Linked DNA regions of Mus musculus. The protein of the gene in region 1 purifies or fractionates together with the protein of each later gene. This does not show direct contact. Links are inferred from orthologs where the notes say so. Each region holds a gene or a part of one and is shown in the gene's direction. Other genes may lie near its edges.

Evidence for each region.
Region 2: the proteins of Hat1 (region 1) and Rbbp4 purify together in Homo sapiens (affinity purification with mass spectrometry; 5 studies listed by BioGRID and IntAct, with this or other methods). This does not show direct contact. The link is inferred for Mus musculus from reciprocal best matches to the Homo sapiens genes HAT1 and RBBP4.

The regions. Positions count from the first base shown.
Region 1 is NC_000068.7:71,387,868-71,391,616, forward strand, and holds the start of Hat1 (histone acetyltransferase type B catalytic subunit), read left to right. Parts: upstream 1-1,392; 5' UTR 1,393-1,430; coding exon 1,431-1,437; intron 1,438-2,035; coding exon 2,036-2,131; intron 2,132-3,749. UniProt on the Homo sapiens protein: Histone acetyltransferase that plays a role in different biological processes including cell cycle progression, glucose metabolism, histone production or DNA damage repair. Coordinates histone production and acetylation via H4 promoter binding.
Region 2 is NC_000070.6:129,314,825-129,318,473, reverse strand, and holds part of Rbbp4 (histone-binding protein RBBP4), read left to right. Parts: coding exon 1-30; intron 31-554; coding exon 555-612; intron 613-715; coding exon 716-826; intron 827-3,649. UniProt on the Homo sapiens protein: Core histone-binding subunit that may target chromatin assembly factors, chromatin remodeling factors and histone deacetylases to their histone substrates in a manner that is regulated by nucleosomal DNA.

The DNA.
Region 1 (3,749 bases):
TCCATTGCCGGGGTAGAGAGGCTGTAAACTTGTTGGGGGAGGCCTGGAAACTGCTGCTGACCCATTGTCCTTGCCTCGGGCCAGACAGGTGGCCAGACAGGTGGCGGGCCGGCTTCGGAGGCCTGGACTTGCCTGGACTTGCCCAGGTCTTGGTAAGAGATTTAGGCCTAACCTCCTTAACTGCCAATTTGAAGCCTGTCATGGAGTCAGCCTAGCCTTCTCAAGCGCTGGTATTAGAACCTTGCTAGGCAGAGACCCAACAGTTCTCCAGGAGTCCCTCAGGTCTTCACAGGCAGATTGGGCTGAGGCTCCTAGCTTTGAGGACTGACCACCAGGTTTTCAGCATTTGCTGTGAGACAACCACTGTCTGGCCTCTCCAAGTGTACCACATAAGCCAAGGTGGTAAGTCATCTTTTAATATATGTTCATTCCATTGGTTCCTTCTTTTCTAGAGAGACCCGATATACCAAAGATCAACTTTCCATACGGCATGCATCATTTTAAAGCGTATCAGCAAATGTGTTGACACCAGGGAGTCTGGTATTTGAATACCATCGTAGAGGTAAATAGCAAATTATCCTCTGGGAGAAAAAAAAAAATCCAAAAGCAACTAAATAATAAGGCCCATGATTAAAAATGGGTAGTATCCTATGATTAGTTCAAGCCACTAGGACCTCATACAAGTCCAACTAAATCAAGCCACTTGAGGTAGTGTTAGTAACCACTTTTAGTGAGCTAAATGGTTGTCCAGAAAACTTAAGAGCAAAAGCAGGTATATTTCTAAATTTTACTTTTAATAGTTGTGCACGCTAGCATGTAATCAGAGCACAGCTTTCGGGAGTCTTCCATTTTGGGTCCCTGAGTTCTTTAATATGGCACTATTTTTCAATTTGGGAGCACAAAGAAAGTCTATAATGGGTTAGTGGCAGAGCCTTATGTCTACCATAAGTATGACTCTGAATTGGTCACCCAGCTCCAAAATACGAATAAAATTCAGAGGAACCTTTTAAAATGGGTTATGGCAAAGTTGAATCAAAAAGTTTAAAAACTTCGAAATGAAACCCCCACAGAAAAACTTGCGTTCGGGCCAAAAGATGGGAAGGACAATCGCCTTAAGCTGTTTGAGAATTCACATTAATTTCTAAGCAAGTCTCTAGTGGCCAGCAAGCCGCACAGGCTGGGACGCCGAAGACATGGGGTGAGGGCATCCTCACGTGCGGTGGCTAGGCAACCGCGGGCGCCTTCTCACGGTGCTAGCCCCGCCTCCTGAGGCACTTCCGCCGCCGCGCGCCTGGACCTTCTCCCTCTCATTGGTTCGTGGCTCGCCGAGGATGGGCGGGGGAAACGCGTAAGTCCTTGCGGTCACTTCCGGCCCGGGAGCGCGCGGGTTGATTTGTCCTTCCTCAGCTGCGGGCGCTCGGAGCTCGGAAATGGCGGGTAAGTTCCCGGGAAAAGTTTAGCAAGGGGAGGAGGCGGGTGCTTCTGGGGAAGAACGTTGAGGCGGCCGTGACAGTGGCCGCCTGGAACTTTCGGGCTCTAGCAGAGGTTCCAGAAGGCCTCTCCCTTCCGCGAGGCACTGAGGGTCGGGGACTGGCTCCCGGTGGGCCGCGCTCGGCGCCACCGCCCCCGGTGCTGACGCTCGGCGCCTCCCGTGGGCCTCCCGGGCCTTGAGCTCAGGCAAGGCGCTCAGTTTGGTCTGGTGGAGCGCGGTCTGCCTCGGAGCCTTTCACCCCCTCGTTCCCCTTTGCTCACTGTCGCCCTAATGTAACCCATTAGGTCCAGTTCCCGCCAGCTGATCCTCTCCAGGGCCCTGCCCACCTCCCTCCCAGCCAACTTCTGAGCGAGCGCGGTGCTGCTGCCCTGCCCTGGTTCAGGGCACACTCAGGGTCTCATAACCCTTCAGGATTCCTGAGATCATTGTTTTTTTAGATGTCCTTTGAGAAAGTCGTTTTTACACTGCCCAACTTGTCACTTAGAATGGAACTTCTGTGCTGTGTGTAGTAGAATCCTCTTGCTGTGCTTTATTCGTTTCTAGCCTTGGAGAAATTTCTGGTGGAGTATAAGAGTGCCGTGGAGAAGAAACTAGCAGAGTACAAGTGTAACACCAACACAGCAATCGAGCTGAAACTAGGTGCGTATTTCCTTTCAGAGGAGTTCTGTGTGTGCAGCCCTGTATTTAACAGAGCCTTTAAAATAGGAAACACAGCTTGAGGTTAAGACGATTACGTAACAGGTACTTTCTGCGTTGACTGGACATGGAGATTTTAGGCAGTTCTCTAAGTTCATGCGGTAGAAGGGGTAGGGGAAAGATAGTGATAAGAAAGTGAAAGATAGTGTGGCAGAAAGTATATGTGATCTCATCTTAAAAATTGCAAATACACCAGGCAGTGGTGCCGCATGCCTTTAATCCCAGCACTTGGGAGGCAGAGGCAGGCGGATTTCTGAGTTCGAGGCCAGCCTTGGTCTACAGAGTGAGTTCTAGGACAGCCAGAGCTATACAGAGAAACCCTGTCTCGGGGGAAAAAATTGCAAATGGGGGATGGAGAGATGGCTCAGCTGTTAAGATCATTGACTGTTTTTCCAGAGGTCCTGAGTTCAAATCCCAGCAACCACATGGTGGCTTACAACCATCTGTAATGAGATCTGATGCTCTCTTCTGGTGCTCGTACTTACATATAATCATTCAATCAATCAATCTTCAGGCCCCAGGGAGCAGGACTGGTAAGAGCACTGACTGTTCTTCCGGAGGTCTTGAGTTCAAATCCTAGAAACTACATGGTGACTCACAAACATCTATGATGAGATCGGATGCCCTCTTCTGGTGTGTCTGAAGACAGCTACAGTGTACTTAGATATAATAAATAAATCTTTTTAAAAAAAATTGCAAATATGATAATAACAGCTGTTGGTTAGGATGTGGAAATTCATGGGTTGCTGGTATTATATCTAAAATGATATAACAACTTTGGTTTGGAAAAAAAATTTAAATGTATTTTATGTTCATAAGTGCTTTCTCTATCTTCATGAATACCAGAAGAGGACATCAGATTCCCACCATGTGTTTGCTGGGAATTGAACTCAGGACCTCTGGAAGAGACCAGTGCTCTTTTTTTTTTTTTTTTAAAGATTTATTTATTTATTATATGTAAGTACACTGTAGCTGTCTTCAGACACTCCAGAAGAGGGCGTCAGATCTTGTTACAGATGGTTGTGAGTCACCATGTGGTTGCTGGGATTTGAACTCCGGACCTTCGGAAGAGCAGTCGGGTGCTCTTATCAACTGAGCCATCTCACCAGCCCTAGTTTAAAAAAAAAAACAAACATAAATTAGCTACGTGAGCCAGCCCTTTTATTAGGTGTCTGTTCAAGGGAAGTGAAGATGTTCATTTATACATGAATACTTAAAAGTGAGTTATTTACAATAGCCAAAAAGTGTAAACAACTCATAAAGCAGTTGGTAAACAGATAAAGTATGCCATAGTTATTCAGTGGAATATTGTCTGACAATAGAAGTTCTGATACCTGTCACACAATGTGGAGAAATCTGAAAAACATGCTAAGTAAAAGAAGGCAGGCAAAACCAGTATAGTGTGTCCATTTGTTTAAAATGTTCAGAAAGGACATCTGCAAAGACAGACGGTAGAGAATCATTACCCCAGGCTAAATGTAGGCTCCTGACTGTCCTGGAACTTACTCTGTAAACCAGGCTGGTCTTGTATTTCCCTTAGTGATGGACCTGAAATCATAAG
Region 2 (3,649 bases), on another chromosome or scaffold:
CGATCGTAGGCTGAATGTCTGGGATCTAAGGTGAGTTTTATGTTAGTTACCCTATCCCTGAAGTTATTTGGGTCGGGGGTGTTTTGGGAACAGCTGTCCTCTGATCCCCTCTGTAGACCAGGTTGACTTCAAATTCAAAGAGATTTTCCTGCCTCTGCTTCCTGAGTGCCACCCAGCTTAGCAAAGTTACTGTCTACATTTTTCAATGACAGGTACTGAGTGTAATGATTTCTGACCTTTTCTTTTTAATTTATTTATTTTATGTGTATGGGTATACTTTAGCTGAACAGATGGTTGTGAGCCTTCATGTGGTTGTTGGGAATTGAGTTTTTAGGACCTCTGCTCGCTCCAGGCCAAAGATTTATTTATTATTATTATTACGTAAGTACATTGTAGCTGTCTTCAAATGCTCCAGAATCTCATTGCAGATGGTTGTGAGCCACCATGTGGTTGCTGGTTTGAACTCAGGACCTTCAGAAGAGCAATCAGTGCTCTTACCTGCTGAGCCATCTCACCAGCTCAATTTCTGACTTTTTTGGTTTTTTGTTTTAAAGTAAAATTGGAGAAGAGCAGTCCCCAGAAGATGCAGAGGATGGCCCACCAGAATTGTTGGTATGTTACAAGTCAGACACTTTGGGATCTTCAGTGTTTAAATAATGAGTGGGCTGTGACTTAAAGTGGTCTGTATTTAATGTCTTTGTTTTGGGCCTTCCAGTTTATTCATGGTGGTCACACTGCCAAGATATCTGACTTCTCCTGGAATCCCAATGAGCCTTGGGTGATTTGTTCTGTATCAGAAGACAATATCATGCAAGTGTGGCAGATGGTGAGTGGTTTATTTATTTACTATGGGAAACTAGATCTATGAGACAACATTATTTCTTTCATACCTATGTATGCATATATGATGATCGAGGTATACAAACATTTACACACACTTTGTGGATGCAGCTGTCAGCTGTGTTCAGATTTTTCTTTCAATGTGACTTCCATATTTGTGTCATTTTTCTTTCCTTTGGTCTTTTTTGAGACAGGGTTTCTCTGTGTAACCCTGGCTGTCCTTGAACTCAGAAATCTGCCTGCCTCTGCCTCCCAAGTGCTGGGGTTAAAGGCATGCGCCACCACTGCCCGGCTGGTTTAGTTTTTCAAGATAGGTTTTCTCTGTGTGACCCTGGCTATCCTAGAGCTCACTCTGTAGATCAGGCTGGGTCTACCTGCCTCTGCTTCCCGAGTGCTAGGATTAACAGTGTGCAACACCACCACCACCTGGCTCAACCTTTCTTTTCCTTCTTTTCCTTTATCTGATTGTGCCACTGGTTAGTTTAACTAAAAATTGATCTTTTCATGCCCAGCCTTTTTTAATTTTTTTTTTTCTTTTTTGGTTTTTCGAGATAGGCTTTCTCTGTGTAGCCCTGGCTGTCCTGGAACTCACTTTGTAGACCAGGCTGGCCTCGAACTCAGAAATCCGCCTGCCTCTGCCTCCCAAGTGCTGGGATTAAAGGCGTGTGCCACCACGCCCGGCTTTTTTTTTTTAATATGACTCCAGCCAGTGATAAGGCTGAAGTAGGTTTATTTTTTCCCAGTCTGCTTTTATACCGTTCTAAGTACATGCGAAGAATAAGGTCAGTTCTAGGTCAAGGAAAAAACAAGTCAATAAAAAAAGTCCCATGGCATTCAGGGACTTAATCAAGATAATCAAGATCTTGAGCCTACTCCTTCTCCTAGCCCAGTGTCAAATTCCTGCCAAATTTCTAGAAGTGGCCCCAAGAGCTCTCCACATCTCCCTCTTTTTGATTTTATAAACAAGACTTAGGTTGTTTTGACAAGAAGCATTATCAAAAGCAATGCATTTCTGTCTTAGGTTGATGAGACTTGGTGCAGAATCTTACCTGACTTTGATTGACAGCCTCTTAATGTCTCTGTCTGGGGATCCAGTATTAGTTTCAAGCTGTGTAGGTTGGTCACCAACATTGTTATTGTTAAACACACCCAGCTTACATGTTGATCTTAAGATTCTTTTTTTTTTTTTTTTTTTTTTTTGGTTTTTCGAGACAGGGTTTTTCTGTGTAGCCCTTGGCTGTCCTGGAACTCACTCTGTAGACCAGGCTGGCCTCGAACTCAGAAATCCGCCTGCCTCTGCCTTCCAAGTGCTGGGATTAAAGGCGTGCGCCACCACTCCCGGCTTAAGATTCTTTATATACTTTGCTGTCCCACATCCCACTTGAGAGTTGTATTCCCAAAAATTGTACCTCAGGGCTGAAAGATGATTACATTTCTATAATTTCATTCATTCAGCACTGATAAGGGCCATAGTGTCTGTTTAAGACATGTTACACTGCATAGGTCTATTTGTAGTTACAAAGGAAGCTTTAGACTCCCTGTAGTACAAATTGATTGGGATGCCTGCATCATATGTGTAGCTTGAAGTTGTCTTAGTGTGATGCAAGATTAAAAATACAAGATTTAGGTGGGGTATAGTGGCACATTATGTCAGAAGACAACAAATCTCTTGAGTTTTAGCCTAGACTATGTAGCAAGTTCCAGGACAGCCAGGACTACACAACTACATACAGAGAAACCCTCTAGGATGGGAGGTTACAATAATGATGTGATTATATCAGCTTGTATACCTGAGTGTACAAAAGCCAGGAGAGTCTGGCCGTGCTTGTCTTGAGAGCTATTCTTGGGTGTGCTTGTAGGGTATGATGTTGGACTATTTAAAATATTATATATGCTTTCTGGTGCTTTTCTACTGAGAATGTGGTGAAATAACAATTTTAAAAAGGAATCCAGTGGTAGATTGTATTGTATTAAGTGATAATAGTGAAGGTGTAACCATTAAAGAAAAATAAGGAAAACCAAAACATAAAGTAAAGGCTACAACTACTGATAGAGTCATAGAGCTTTGGGTGTGTTGCTCTGTTTGGGTTTTTTGTTGTTTGTTTCAAGACAGGGTTTCTCTGGTGGCCGTGGATGTCCTAGAACTAGTTCTGTAGACCAGACTGGCCTTGAACTCACAGAGATCTGCCTTTGCCTCCCAAGTGCTGGGCTAAAGGCATAAACCACTATGCCTGACTTTTAGAGCTTTGTTTAAGATGTTAAGATGTACTTATTTCTTTAGTATATGTGCTGCCGAGATCAGCACAAGATGTTATTTCTTTAAAGAGAATTTTAAAATCTTTTAGCAGTTTGTGATGTCACAGCCTTGTATTTAAGATAGTCTTGAGACCATAAAGACCTAACAGGTTTTGTTTTGGATTTATTTACCTGATTGAGTGTTCTTCCTGCTTTTTTTATGTGCCCCATTTGCATGCAGTGCCTTTGGAGGCCGAAGTGAGGGCATCAGATCCCCTTGGCGTGCAGATACTGATGATAGTGGGTGCTTAGAACTGTACCTGGGTTCTTTACCACTGTCCCCCAGTAAAGAATTGTGTTGCTTTGTGGTTTTTTTGTTTTTGTTTTTTGAGATAGGATTTCACTGTGTGAAGCAGGCTGGATTTAATTCATAGCTATCTACCTGCCTCAGCTTTCCAAATGCCAGGGCTTAAGGACTAGAGGAGAGGACAAGCTGGCTTATTGGTGCTCCCTTTTTCTTACTATGTAGCTCTGGCCATCCATCCTCGAACTCACTCTTGTGGACCAGCCTGGC